Linked DNA regions of Stegostoma tigrinum. The protein of the gene in region 2 purifies or fractionates together with the protein of the main gene of each other region. This does not show direct contact. Links are inferred from orthologs where the notes say so. Each region holds a gene or a part of one and is shown on either strand. Other genes may lie near its edges.

Evidence for each region.
Region 1: the proteins of baz1b (region 2) and unconventional myosin-Ic-like purify together in Homo sapiens (affinity purification with western blotting; 3 studies listed by BioGRID, with this or other methods). This does not show direct contact. The link is inferred for Stegostoma tigrinum from reciprocal best matches to the Homo sapiens genes BAZ1B and MYO1C.

What each region holds. Positions count from the first base shown.
Region 1 is NC_081380.1:47,583,253-47,591,118, reverse strand, and holds the start of unconventional myosin-Ic-like, read right to left. Parts: upstream 3,017-7,866; 5' UTR 2,802-3,016; coding exon 2,775-2,801; intron 1-2,774.
Region 2 is NC_081380.1:13,702,899-13,710,304, reverse strand, and holds the start of baz1b (tyrosine-protein kinase BAZ1B), read left to right. Parts: upstream 1-4,386; 5' UTR 4,387-4,632; coding exon 4,633-4,748; intron 4,749-7,406. UniProt on the Homo sapiens protein: Atypical tyrosine-protein kinase that plays a central role in chromatin remodeling and acts as a transcription regulator. Involved in DNA damage response by phosphorylating 'Tyr-142' of histone H2AX (H2AXY142ph).

The DNA.
Region 1 (7,866 bases), about 34 Mb from region 2:
GAGTTCTAAAAATCTGCTGGACCTGTGACAATTCAGGAATATTCTGGTTTACAGAATCAGCACTGTAAAAGGGCTACTTTAACATCTGTGTTTCAGGAAAAACAACAGTGAAGGAATCCGGTCACAGTGAGAGAGTTTGCAAAGCCAGTGACTGACCAGGATTACATCAGCCAGGCACAATACTTGTAACACCAAGGAAGAAGCCTCTGCCCCCAATAACCCTTGGGGACTACCTAGGCCCGTCCCTCCCTCCTCTGGATCTATGCATCCTGACCACTCCCTACAGCACCATACTCTCTCTCTGGGACACCACGGCCTACCCCACCAACCCGGCTGTTTCCCTGGGATACAAAGATACATATGGTTCCACAAATATTAAGACACCCACACGTGTACAGAAAGGCACAAACACTAACAGAAAAAGAGGCAAATACAGACAGACAATAAAACAAAGAGAGAGACACAGACAGACACACACACTAAAGGATACAGAAAGAAAGGGGAGGGGGGCAAGAGAGAGAGACACGCGGATGCACAAATAGATAGTGAGGGAGACAGACACACAGACAGACAGAGTGGGACACACAGGCACTGCACAGAGAGACACGGACAGCCACTCCCTGCCAATCTTGGCATTACTACCATCCATTGTTCACTTTTTGGCATCTGAATCACACAGAGGGATTCCTCTTGACTTATCCAGTACTGCATGCTCGTCAGAGAGGGACAGAGGGAGAGAGGGGGGCTACTGGCAGCGCGTTTAGTATGGAGAGAGAGAGAGAGAGAGAGAGAGAGAGAGAGAGAGAGAGAGAGAGAGAGAGAGAGAGAGAGAGAGAGAGAGAGAGACATACTTTCAGATACTAACATGACAGTTGGACAGGAGCACAGTCTCAGAAAAAGAACAGAGGAATAGGATTGTAGCACGTAATCCATGAAGGACTGGTATTGGCACAGGCTTGATAGAACAAATAGCTTCTTTCTCTCCTGAAACATCTTTGATTTTATTGCAATAAACTATCAAAAATCTGTTAGATGCCTATGCTTTCCAAAATGTGTATCAGAACCCCAAATGACTCAGAGGTAATAATCAGCAAAGATAAACTTCAGAAGTTCCTTTTTTTAAAAAAAAATCATTTTTTCCCAATATTTGCATAGAGATAATATGAACATTGTGAGCAATGAGAATGGTTAAAAGGGTCAGGAAACACTTAGTCCCAGTTCCAGGCTGGTTATGAAGCAGGCCACGCAAACGTTAAGGGCATCTATTAGTTATGGTGGTGATGAGATTGAACTGGGAATATTAGCGCTGGGTCAAGACTCACATCACCAGCAATTAAAATCACTGCACTTCAACCCATGAGATACCTTATTTGGACTGATCTTACAGTAAGACAGGAGCAACCGATATGATCATTTATCCAAATGTCTCAGCCTCCTGCACCGAACTTCCCCAATAATAGGAAAAACCTCATCATGTGATACAATCATCTTGAGCTTCCTCTCTCCAAGCCAACTCCACTGTCAATGTTTCCCCAAAACAGTTAGTGTTCCTCTAAATCTTATTCATAAATAAGTGCCCTCTCCCCCTCCTCACTCCTCTCCTACCTCCTCTTCCACACTCACCACAAGGGGCAATTAAGACACAACCATCATACTGTGGATCTGGAGTCACAAGTAGACCAGACCAGGTGAGTGAAGAACATCAGGATCAGAGTTAGAGAACCGGATGAGTTTTATGTCAACCAGATGATTTCATCATCACTGTCAATGAGACCAGCTTTTCATTCCAGATTGTTTATTTTGTAAATTGAATTTAAATTCCCTCAGCTACCTCGATGGGATTTGAACTCGTCCTGTGTCAATAACTCAGCCTCTGTAACATTAACACGGCATCTATCAGTCGCTCCTTCAGCACCGAATCAAGGCTGAAATAGTTGTGGAAGGCAAACTTTTTGAGAAGTAATTAGCATTAGGCAATAAATGCTGCTCTCACCAATAATGCCCATTTTCTTCAGAATTAGACAATTTTCTTAAAGAAATAAAACTGCAGTATGGGGTGGACTTTTGAAAAGGGACTACTTGGAATCCAACAGCTCCTGATGGAAAGCAGGTTTGAAATGCAACCTGGTTAACTAGCTTAGACAGATTCAGAAGTCAAACCGATGAACTGACATTACTTATCTTGAACAGAAAGGTACATTGTACTCCACGCTCAAAAGGGCAATAGAAGAAATTTGAAGCAATGTCGTGTAGGCAGTGACATTTAACTTCAGAACTTTGATTCCAATCTCCTTGTATGCCTGATCTGGCTGCAGATTCTAGGTTGTTCGGCAACCGGGTGGTTGGAAACACTCCAACACAGACCTGCAAAACTCACCACCTCAGTCAACAGAATAAACACATCTCGGATACGACGACTTTTTAAAAGTAACATTAAACTTTGTCATTTCAAGTAACTGTTCAAAAATTTGGAAATAACAAGAACCCCTGAACCAGGAACAAATTACATCTCATCATACACATTTAACTAAGGGCAAGTTACAAAGTGTTACCATTTTTGTTCGCTGTGTCTGGCCTGGGATGTGACTCCAGTTTAACCTGAACTGGTGGAGAGATATCCCAACAAATTCAGAAACTAAACCAGCTCAGCACAGACCAGTCCCAGTCCCAGTCCCAGTCAGTCCTAATGAGTGCAGCTCCGGTCCAGTCGGTCTCTGTGCTACGAGCTAAGTTTCTGACGGGAGGCGAGGCCCCGCTCCAGTGAGAGTCCTTACCCCAGGCCGGCCGCTGCGGAACTTCATTCTGGCCGCAAGCAGCTGTTGGTGTCCGCTTCAAGCCGGGCCCGGGCCGCTCCTTCTCTCTCTCTCTGCCTCTCACAATCAGCGCTCTGTCTCATTCCTCCCACACCCTCTCGCTCCGACTGGACTTTCCAAAAAATAATACAGCAACACGGCGACCAACCAGAGCCGCGTAAACAGGAATGGGAGAGTCACACGGGGAGGGAAGAGACGGGAGTGGGAGAGTCACACGGGGAGGGAAGAGACGGGAGTGGGAGGAGAGTGGGAGAGTCACACGGGAGGGAAGAGACGGGAGTGGGAGGGAGAGTGGGAGAGTCACACGGGAGGGAAGAGACGGGAGTGGGAGGGAGAGTGGGAGAGTCACACGGGGAGGGAAGAGACGGGAGTGGGAGGGAGAGTGGGAGAGTCACACGGGGAGGGAAGAGACGGGAGTGGGAGGGGAGTGGGAGAGTCACACGGGGAGGGAAGAGACGGGAGTTGGAGGGAGAGTGGGAGACGGGGTGTTGTGTTGTGGGGAGGGAAGGAGACGGGGTGTGCGGGGTGTGTGGGGTGGGGGTGGCGGAATGGGGTGGGGTGGCGGAATGGGGTGGGGTGGCGGAATGGGGGGGGTCGGGGTCGGGAGGGAGGTCGGGGTCGGGAGGGAGGTCGGGGTCGGGAGGGAGGTCGGGGTCGGGGTCGGGGTCGGGGTCGGGGTCGGGAGGGGGGTCGGGAGGGGGGTCGGGAGGGGGGTCGGGGTCGGGAGGGGGGTCGGGGTCGGGAGGGAGGGGGGTCGGGGTCGGGAGGGAGGGGGGTCGGGGTCGGGAGGGGGGTCGGGGTCGGGAGGGAGGGGGGTCGGGGTCGGGAGGGAGGGGGGTCGGGGTCGGGAGGGGGGTCGGGGTCGGGAGGGAGGGGGGTCGGGGTCGGGAGGGAGGGGGGTCGGGGTCGGGAGGGGGGTCGGGGTCGGGAGGGGGTCGGGGTCGGGAGGGAGGGGGGTCGGGAGGGAGGGGGGTCGGGGTCGGGAGGGAGGGGGGTCGGGGTCGGGAGGGAGGGGGGGTCGGGGTCGGGAGGGAGGGGGGGGGTCGGGGTCGGGGGGAGGGGGGGGGGGTCGGGGGGGAGGGGGGGGGGGGGTCGGGGGGGAGGGGGGGGGGGGGGTCGGGGGGGGGGAGGGGGGGGGGGTCGGGGGGGGGTCGGGGGGGATGTCGGGTGGGAGGGGGGGGTCGGGGGGGGGTCGGGGTCGGGGGGAGGTCGGGGGGGGGGGTCGGGGGGGGGGTCGGGGTCGGGGGGGGGGGTCGGGGTCGGGGGGGTCGGTCGGGGTCGGGGGGGGGGGTCGGGTCGGGGGGGTCGGTCGGGGTCGGGGGGGTCGGGGGGGGGTCGGGGGGGGGGTCGGGGTCGGGGGGGGGGTCGGGGGGGGGGTCGGGGGGGGGGTCGGGGTCGGGGGGGGGGTCGGGGGGGAGGGGGGGGTCGGGGTCGGGGGGGAGGGGGGGGGTCGGGGTCGGGGGGGAGGGTCGGGGGGGAGGGTCGGGGGGGAGGGGGGGGGTCGGGGGGGAGGGGGGGGGTCGGGGTCGGGGGGGAGGGTCGGGGGGGAGGGTCGGGGTCGGGGGGGAGGTCGGGGGGGAGGGGGGGGGTCGGGGGGAGGGTCGGGTCGGGGGGGAGGTCGGGGGGGAGGGGGGGGGTCGGGGGGGAGGGGGGGGGGGGGTCGGGGGGGAGGGGGGGGGTCGGGGGGGAGGGGGGGGGGTCGGGGTCGGGGGTCGGGGGGGGGTCGGGGTCGGGGGGGATGTCGGGGGGGAGGGTCGGGGGGGAGGGGGGGGGTCGGGGTCGGGGGGGGAGGGTCGGGGTCGGGGGGGGAGGTCGGGGGGGAGGGGGGGGTCGGGGGGGAGGGGGGGGGGGTCGGGGGGGAGGGGGGGGGGTCGGGGGGGAGGGGGGGGGGGTCGGGGTCGGGGGGGGTCGGGGTCGGGGGGGATGTCGGGTGGGAGGGGGGGGGTCGGGGGGGGGTCGGGGTCGGGGGGGATGTCGGGTGGGAGGGGGGGGGTCGGGGGGGGGTCGGGGTCGGGGGGGAGGTCGGGGGGGGGGGGGTCGGGGGGGGGTCGGGGGGGGGGGGTCGGGGGGGAGGGGGGGGGTCGGGGGGGAGGGGGGGGGTCGGGGGGGAGGGGGGGGGGTCGGGGGGGGGGTCGGGGGGGAGGGGGGGGTCGGGGGGGGGGTCGGGGTCGGGGGGGGTGGGGGTCGGGGTCGGGGGGGATGTCGGGTGGGAGGGGGGGGGGGTCGGGGGGGGGTGGGGGTCGGGGTCGGGGGGGATGTCGGGTGGAGGGGGGGGTCGGGGGGGGGTCGGGGGGTCGGGGGGGGTCGGGGTCGGGGGGGATGTCGGGGTGGGAGGGGGGGGGTCGGGGGGGGGTCGGGGTCGGGGGGAGGTCGGGGGGGGGGGGGGTCGGGGGGGAGGTCGGGGGTCGGGGGGGAGGGGGGGGGTCGGGGGGGAGGGGGGGGGGGTCGGGGGGTCGGGGGGGGGGTCGGGGGGTCGGGGGGGAGGGGGGGGGTGGGGGGGGGAGGGGGGAGGGGGGGGGGTGGGGGGGGAGGGGGGGGGTGGGGGGGGGGTCGGGGGTCGGGGTCGGGGGGGGGTCGGGGTCGGGGTCGGGGTCGGGGTCGGGGGGGGGTCGGGTCGGGTCGGGTCGGGGGGGGGTCGGGGTCGGGGTCGGGGGGGGTCGGGGTCGGGGGGGTCGGGGTCGGGGGTCGGGGGGGGTCGGGGGTCGGGGGGTCGGGGGTCGGGGGGGGGGTCGGGGTCGGGGGTCGGGAGGGGGGGGGTCGGGGTCGGGAGGGAGGTCGGGGTCGGGGTCGGGAGGGAGGTCGGGGTCGGGGTCGGGAGGGAGGTCGGGGTCGGGGTCGGGAGGGAGGTCGGGGTCGGGGGTCGGGAGGGAGGTCGGGGTCGGGGTCGGGAGGGAGGTCGGGGTCGGGGTCGGGGTCGGGAGGGAGGTCGGGGTCGGGAGGGAGGTCGGGGTCGGGGTCGGGAGGGAGGGGGGGGTCGGGGTCGGGAGGGAGGGGGGGGTCGGGGTCGGGAGGGGGGGTCGGGGTCGGGAGGGGGGGGTCGGGGGTCGGGGGGGGGGGGGTCGGGGTCGGGGTCGGGAGGGAGGGGGGGGTCGGGTCGGGAGGGAGGGGGGGGTCGGGGTCGGGAGGGAGGGGGGGGTCGGGGTCGGGAGGGAGGGGGGGGGGTCGGGGTCGGGAGGGAGGGTCGGTGTCGGGGTCGGGAGGGAGGGGGTGTCGGGGTCGGGAGGGAGGGAGGGGTCGGGGTCGGGAGGGAGGGAGGAGGGAGGGGTCGGGAGGGAGGGAGGGAGGGAGGGTCGGGAGAGGGAGGGAGGGGTCGGGGTCGGGAGGGAGGGTCGGGGTCGGGAGAGGGAGGGGAGGGGTCGGGGGGGTCGGGAGGGAGGGTCGGGGTCGGGGTCGGGAGGGAGGGAGGGAGGGGTCGGGAGGGAGGGAGGGAGGGGTCGGGAGGGAGGGGAGGAGGGGTCGGGAGGGAGGAGGGGTCGGGAGGGAGGGAGGGAGGGGTCGGGGTCGGGAGGGAGGGAGGGGTCGGGGTCGGGAGGGAGGGGTCGGGAGGGAGGGAGGGAGGGGTCGGGGTCGGGAGGGAGGGAGGGGTCGGGAGGGAGGGGGGGGTCGGGCGGTCGGGAGGGAGGGAGGGAGGGGTCGGGAGGGAGGGAGGGGTCAGGAGGGAGGGAGGGAGGGGTCGGAGGGAGGGGTCGGGGGAGGGAGTCGGGGGGGGAGGGAGGGAGGGGGAGAGGGAGAGGAGAGGGAGGCGGGGTGGGGGGGAGGGAGGGGGAGGGAGACGGGGTGGGGGGGAGGGAGGGGAGGGAGACGGGGTCGGGGTGTGTGTGTTGCGGGGGGAGACGGGATGAGGGTGTGGGGAGGGAGGGGAGACGGGGTCCTGGGTGTGTGGGGAGGGAGGGACGGGGTGTGGGTGGGAATGGTTGGGGAGGGGGGGGAGGGAGGCGGCGGGTGGGGGGGAGGGGGTGGGTGGGGGCGGGGATGGGAGGGGGGGAGGGAGGGAGACTGGGGAAGGGAGGGAGACGGGGGGAATGTGGGTGGGGGGGTGTGTGGGTGGGTGGGAGGAGGGAGACGGGGGCGGTGTGGGGAGGGAGACGGGGGGAATGTGGGCGGGTGGGAGGGAGACGGGGGGAATGTGGGCGGGTGGGAGGGAGGGAGGTGGTGGGGTGTGTGTGGGAGGGAGGGAGACCGTGGGGAGTTGTGGGTGTGAGGGAGACCGTGGGGAGTGTGGGTGTGAGGGAGACCGTGGGGAGTGTGGGTGTGAGGGAGACGGGGACGGTGTGTGGGTGGAGGGAGGGAGACCGTGGGGAGTGTGGGTGTGAGGGAGACGGGGACGGTGTGTGGGTGGGAGGGAGAGAGACGGGGGGTGGTGTGGTGTGGGTGTCGGGGGGAGGGAGGAGACTGGGCAGCAGTGTGTGGGGGGATGGAGGGAGACGGGGGGGTGTGGGTGGGAGGGAGACGGGGGTTGTGAGTTGGGGGGATGATTTGGGAGGGAGACGGGGGCTGTGTGGGGGAGCGAGGGAGAGAGACGGGGGGTGGGCGATGGGGGTTGGCGGGGAGTGGGGAAGGGTTACGGGGTTTGGGGTTGGCGGGAAGGGAGACGGAATGGGGGAGTGGGAGATGGTGAGAGTGGGGGCGCGGGGAGGTGGGAGGGAGATGGTGGGGTGGGGGAGGGAGTCGCTGGGGGGGGTGTGTGGGGTGGGGTGGGGGGGAGGGAGACGGATTGGGGGTGTGTGTGGGGAGGGAGATGGAGTGGGGGTGTGTGTGGGGCGGAAGACGGGGTGGGGGTGTGTGTGGGGAGTGGGGGAGGGAGACGGGGTGGGTGTGTGTGTGTGTGTGTGTGAGGGGGGGAGGGAGACGGGGTGGGGGTGTGTGTGGGGAGGGAGACGGGGTGGGGGTGTGTGTGGGGAGTGGGGGAGGGAGACGGGGTGGGGGTGTGTGTGTGAGTGGGGGAGGGAGACGGGGTGGGGGTGTGTGTGGGGGACTGGGGGAGGGAGACGGGGTGGGGGTGTGTGTGGGGACTGGGGGAGGGAGACGGGGGTGGGGGTGTGTGTGTGGGTGC
Region 2 (7,406 bases):
TTAGCTAGTGCTGTGTACAAATTTATTATTTTTCATCCAGAACAAGACAGTTTTGATAATGCATGTAATGTCTTTGAATGAAGGCCGTTTTCCACAGCACCAGATGAGCAGTTAGGATCCCCTTTCAATATTCAAAGGAGAGTACTTCAGCATTCAAAAAAGAATTCTGTCTGCCAACCCTCCTGTCATGTAACTTCATCAAATAGAAATAATTGGTTGAAAATTGTTTTGCTATCTGTGGGATCTAGCTGTACAAAATGTGGCTGTACTTTGCTTATGAAACAGTATTCTGAAGCAGTTCAAAACTTGATGCTTTTATATAAATAAATGTGGTACACAGTGATTGACATTTGAAAATGACATGCTGACTCAATGTGTGTGATATCATTTGTAATATTGGGTTCTAAAGTGGTCAAAACCATGTATAGTCTTAAATTTGATGTGCATTACCATATTGTGTTTCTATGTGTTAAGGGGAGATATGGGGGTTGAATTTTCTTAGATGCAGTAACTTTGTGCAGTTTACTAGTCTGCTTTTTTTTAAAATGAAAGGAGAGAGCTCCGAATTTCTATGATGAGATTCTGATCAGGGCTCCTTCAAAATGTGGAGCCATTCATCATTTCTGACAATTCTTTGGTAATGCTGAGGGTCCAGGAAAAGGCAAACCATAAACCCATGACAAAGGTCCAAAAACATTGTCGCTTTAACAGTTACTGATAAATAGTAAGCATATATGTTAAGTGTGAGGTTAGGGTGATGGCAAGGAAGGGGGCCAGGAGAGTGATCGCCTGGTATAGGTCAGGATGTGTGGGAATACTAGGTCTGGTGGGAAAGGATGCGAATTGGGTCAGGGGTTGCAAGTGCAGTAGAGGTGGAGAAGGGGGGTCAAGTCTCTGGGGTGGAAGGGAGAAGCAGGTTGGGTCCAGAACGGGCAAGGGGCAAAGCAGACTTGTGTCTGGGGAAAAGGGACGAGTGTGTCTGGAGCAGGTGAAGGGTGAGAGAGGATAAGGTTGGATCCAAAATGGTTGAAGATGGATTGGGTCTGAAATGGGGTGATATGCAGGAGTGTCAGGTGATGGTCAGGGAAGTGTAGCTGATCTGAAGGTGTGTTTGGAGTGTTAGGTTAAGACAATGCATTTAACAGTCTAACACTTTGATTTATGATTTACTAAATTTCACTGGAGACCTCTGAATTCTGTAGTTTAAATGGAGACTTCCAGAGAGTTCCAAGCATAGAGTAATTGCCCCTTGGAATCTTCAAATTTCTTGGCCATTCCTCTGATATCTGCCAGGATGGGGATCCACAGGGCTCACAGTGCAACTCCCATCAATGCTGGAATAACACCTATCTGGTCATCAGAAAACCCACACCATTGTTCCTGGAGTGTCTGAAGTTTGTTACACAGTAGACGTCCAGGCAAACAGTTTGGTCTATTAGGAAAAAGTGGTAGAAGAGCGTTTTTAAAAACAACTGCTGATGCCTAGCCAGTAAGGTCCAGCAGCGCACAAGATTGAGAAACTAACCCTATCGCAGGTAATGGGCAGACATTCCCTATGTGCGAAAAGGTGCTGCTTGTCTGGCAGTCTTCAAAAAGTCAGGGCTGGAGAAAAATTCCTGTGTGGCTCAAGGATAAAATATCCCCAGATGTTGGAAGCTGAGGTATAGAAGACATGTTTGCTTTGAAACTATTTGTAAGTTAACACCAAGAAAACTCCAGAAACCAATTATAGCTCAGCCAACTGAAGAAGAAACTTTAAAGTGGAAACAAGGTGACCTCAACTAACATTGAGCATCTGTCAGGTTCTTGTTGAGGGTAAATCTTTAGCTCTGGTAGAATCATAGAGCTGTACAGCATGGAAACAGACCTTTCGGTTCAACTTGTCCTTGCCAACCAGATATACGAAACCAATCCAAAAATAGGTCAAGAAACGCCTACAGAAACAGCATCAGAAAGATTCTACAGGCCCTGACAAATTCATCACACTACCCCACATCAGGAACATGTCAGAACTCACCACAAGACTTCTATGACCGCTGGGCATCAGAGTGGCACACAAACCCACATCAACCCTACGACAAGTACTCACCCGAACTAAAAACCCACTCCCCGCCATGGACAGGACCAATGTCACCTACAAGACCCCCTGCAGAGACTGAGAGAAACACTACATCGGACAAACAGGAAGGAAACTAACAACAAGAGCACATGAACACAAACTGGCTACAAAAAGACACGACCAATACTCACTCATCTCAATCCACATGGACAAGGAGAACCACAACTTCAACTGGGACAATGCCAAGATCCTGAGACAGGCTAGGCAGAGACAAGCACGAGAATTCCGGGAAGCATGGCACTCCACGAAGTAGGCTAATAATAAACACATTGAACTCCACCCCATGTACATTCCACTACGAAGGAAACCCAGAAGTGAGCCAGTCTATCGCAACAGACCCCAGGGTTTAAAAACCAGGCGGGAAAACCTCAACACCCACAACCCGAGCTACAGATCTACTCCAAAACCTTAGCAATCCAATTCCATTTGCCAGCATTTAGCCTGTATTCTTCTAAATCCTTCCTATTCATATACCCATCTAGATGCCTTTTAAAAGTTGTAAACGTACCAGCCTCCATCACTTACTCTGGCAGTTCATTCACCAGTTCATGTGCCACCCTCTGCAAGAAAATGTTGTCCCTTAGATCCCTTATAAATGTATGTAATCTAGTTTTGGATTCCCCTACCCTGGGGGAAAGGACCTTGGCTATTTACTCTTTCTATGTCCCTCATGATTTTATAAACCTTGATAAGGTCACTGCTCAACCTCCAATGCTCTGTGGAAAATAGCTACAGCCTATTCAGCCTCCACTTATAGCTCATCCCTCCAAACCTGGCAATGTCCTTGTAAATCTTTTCTGAATCCTTTCAAGTTTCACAACATTTTTCCTGTAGTAGGGAGATCACAAGTGAATGCAGTATACCAATCGTGGTCTAACCAATGTCCTGTACAGCTGCACGTGACCTCCTAACTCATCATCACTTTATCAGAGGCTGCACTGAGGATGTTACCAAGCATGATAACGAAATGTCTGTATAACAACAAACCAGCTCGGTGAGCCAACCAACCTCAACATCCATCTGCCACTCCTGAGCCCATTGCCTATTTGATCTGATCTGTTTCAAGTAGTTCTTTTGTGTAAAACAGTTCATGTATTTTTTTGGGTGAAATATACTTTGTACTTTTAATAAAAGAACATAATCATGAACACACCTGAACTGAAATATAAACAAATTACTAGGAAAAACTCAGCAAGTCTGTTGCCACCTGTAAAGAGGATGCAGTTAATGTTTCGGGTCCAGTGATCGACCTTCAGAACTAGGCTAGCAAGGTTTTCAGGGCGTCTATGCAAAAATATAATGCCAAGTTTCAGTTTGGGACCTGTCCACTTACAAAAAATGCAACATGTTTTGATGTAGGATGTCCAATTATTTCCGATAAGCCTAGTATTAACGAACTTTTTAAAGTACACATAAGCACACTAATAATCACTCAACATTTTTCGGGGAAGTGAGAACCTCCAATCGTTATTTTTAGTGTACACCTCATCCCCCTCTCTCCTGACAAGAGTCCAGGAAGTTCCGAGCAGTGGTCGCTGAAATCAGAAACACTTTCTCTGTACACACACTGCCGGACCTACCGAGTTTCTCGAACAATTTCTGTTCTTGTTTCGAGGATTAAAAAAAAATCTAACGTTCTGTACCCAAAGTGAAGGACAGCAATATTGGGTGGAGTTTGATGGGTGCCTGGGATAGAGGAAGATACTAGGGCTACTCCAGTGATTGACTGACAGATGCCTTACAGCCGCACGCACAACTCGCCCATCCACCGCTTTATTTACCAACCACCCTCCCACCCCTCTACAACCATACGTGCTGGCCGCCCGGGCTCTGATTGACGGCTGACTGTCCCAATCACTTTCTGTATGACATCCATCAATCATCTGCAAGCCCCACCTTCCGTCACTTTCCTCCAATCGCTGAACCAGCAGGTTAGATTTTACCCCTTCACTTTGTGCGTATGTTTTCAATTTTTAAAAAAGAGTCGTCTTTTCCTTTAACAAAATGCTCGAACTTGACAGGCGTCGACAACGCTTTTCCCTTACACACAACTTAACGGACTGCTCGGCCGATCCGAAAAAGAACTCCCTCCATCGCCAGGTTAAGCGACGGCCGTAACCTTTCACCCTCGAAATCTCGAACCCGCGCTCCAAGCGCGCACTGTGCGGTGCTGATGGACAGCAGACACAGCCAATCGGAGGGCGGCAGCGTGCGGTGTTCAGCCAATGGCGATGGAGAAGGTCCGGGTGTTTCCGGCAGGCCGTTCGGGTCTGCTCGGTGGCGGGAGGTGTCGATCGGCCGCCGGTCAGGAGCCGAGCTGCGGAACATCCCGCCATTTTTGAACTCTGCCGCTGGAGCCGGGGCGTGAGGATCGCGCCTTCTCTTTCACTTTTGGGCGATCGGAGCAGCCGAGAAACGGACAGTCCTTTAACCTATTTTCCCCACCCTCCCCCTTCCCCATCACCACCGGCAGGAGCTCCCTTTGAGAGCCGAGCCGGCTGGCCGGCTGGACCATGGCGCCGCTGCTGGGCAGGAAGCCATTCCCGTTGGTGAAGCCGCTTACAGATCTGTCGGCAGAGGAGACTATCTATGTGATCGAGCACAGCGGAGAGGGGTTTCGGAGCAACGAGTATCCTTTAGATCCGAGCCAGGGACCTGAGGGGATCGGAACCCGGCCTTGGGCGATAGCCGGCGTCTCCTAGGGACAGGGGCCTAGGTTTGAGGCAGGAGCTGCCGGGAAGGAGATGCTGTGGGGAGATAGCGCCCTGCTGTCACTATCTGTCAGCGCAGGCCTGTTCAGCGGCAGTGTCCTCCAGAGTGAATTCAGTCAACGTTACCAACTCTACAAGTTAGTCATTGTCAGGAGGCCCTTTGCTGCCAGGCTGGGCCTACTCTTGGGCATTTTTACCGTGCAGTCCTGGAGGGGAATAAATAAAGGGGCCGCACGGGAACGAGCTTCTTCTCAGCTCACAAGTTAAACGTGTGGCTGGCCTACGGTTCCATGTTTAACTACTTTGACGACAGGACTGACTGCAGCTGTCAAAAGACTGGTCCAGCGCTTTCCCTGCTTAATGCTGATGCTTCCACAGCATCAACCTTTTTAACGAGTGAATGACTTGTTATTTAAGCAACTTTGTGAATTTGTTACTCAAATTGCTTTTAGTCACTTTGGATCTGTATTAAATTGAGTAGCTTCATGCAGAAATGAAAATTACGTGTACTGGAGACACGCACAAATAGCTGAAAATGCTAGAGGCACACAGCAGGCCAGTCGTCATCTGGAACTCAGGGGGTTGTGATATTGGATTGTGGTCTTCAGTTAGTGATCTATTCTCTTTTGTAAAATGCTGTTGTCTGTGTGCTTTAATTGTTGTTTAGAGCTAAATGTTCTATATGTTTCTGATATGGACAGTATTGTCTTCTGTGAAGCTTTAGGAATGCTATCTGAAATGAAACTGTTTAATGTATTAAAGTACTTTGAGGAAAGCTTGATTCAAGAATGCATTGGAACAGTTAGAAAGATGTCAGAGTGTTTTTTAAAAAAATTAGACTTTTTTGGGTTTGTGTTCTGAACTTATTTTTATTTCTGATCTACAGGAGTGCTTACACCTCCCCCCTCACCTCCCTTCAAGGCCCAAAGCCAACCTTTGATATTTGACAGGGGTTCACCTATACATGTGCCAACTTGGCCTACTGTACCGCTGCTCCTGATGTGGCCTCCTTGACATGGGTGAGACCAAGCGGATACTGTGGGACAGTTTCGTAGAGCATCTGCACTCTGTAGGTGATAAACGGCAACATCTTCCATTTGCCAACCATTTTAACTGCTCCCTTCACTCCTTGGGTGACATATCCATCCTGGGCTTCCTCCTGTGCCGCAATGACACCATATGCAAACTGGAGGAGCCTATAGCCTGATTGCCTGAACATAGAATTCACCAGTTTTAAACCCCCCCCCCCCCCCCCCCCCAGCATCCCTCTCATCCCTGCCGCCTTGACCTGATACAACCTGTTTATCTTCCACACCTATTCGCCCTACCCTTCCTTTCGACCAATCCCCACCACTCCTTACCTGCATTCATCTATCACCATCCCACCTACCTTCCTCAGCCTCACCTGTCTTCTCAATTTATTTCCCAGCTCCCTGCCCCCTCCCCATTTCTGAAGAAGGGTCCTGACTGGAAGCGTCAACTTTCCTGCTCCTCTGATGCTGCCTGGCCTGCTGTGTTCCTCCAGCTCCACACTGTTGTCTCTGACTCCAGCATCTGCAATTCTTGCTGTCTCTGAGTTCACATACTTTGTTTGCTGAAGGCGCAGCTCATGCTTTTCATTCTAAAATGCAATACAAAAATTCTACAAGGGTTTTGCATGCAAGAAATGTAAGTGAAAGAAAATATAATCCCTCTAAAAGCAGTATGTACATCAATTCCAGCAAAAAGCTTCATTAACTTATTTTATTCCCTTAGCTGTGGCTACCAGTTTAACCTTTATAGTAGCTTGTACAGATTCGCACAAGGTTTGTGTGGAAGGTTTCAAAATAGAATGACTTCCGTGTCACTAGCTAAGCTGTTTGAATGTATTGGTAAGGATTTTTTGAGAAAAGAAAAGCTTTATTTAAAATAAATCTTTAACTTTTGAGTTATGGCAGTTTGTGTAAAGTTTCCAGTTTTTTTTAAGTTTATCTAGGTTTGGAATCTGTGAACTTGAGAACACAGTCTGCTTTGATCAATAGCATCCTGCTTTCATTGAGATCTGTAAGAGCAGTACTGCAGTTCTCCTGTCAAGTGGCTAAAGTTTAGAACTCTGATTTGTCATACCTTCGTGGTCATCAAGATGCTTTGGGTACAGCATTTCATGATTACAAGCCCTTTTTTTAAATGAAGAAAAGAAGACTGGTTACCTTAAAAAAAGTTCAAACACTGCTATAGTACAGTTATCTGGCCAATCTTGTTTAGAAATGGCACTAGGATATCAGTGTATTTGAATCTATTCTTCAGATGAGAGGTTGGAGGTGACTGGAGTGCCGGAACAAAATCATTGTCTGCTCTTGTGGAAAACCATTTTACTGGTGTTTTGATGAGCTTATACCACATTGGAAAAAGAACTTTGATTAGCCATCATTGCCTGTCTGCAGATCTTTACTTGCAGCACTGTAAGTGGTGCTGAAGGCCTTGGAAAAGTGAGAAAATTTGTGTTTTTGAAACAGGGCTGAACGCGATGATTGATTATGACTCATTGCCATCCAAATTTGACACTATGGCAGAAGGAGTTATTCTTTCTGAATTGG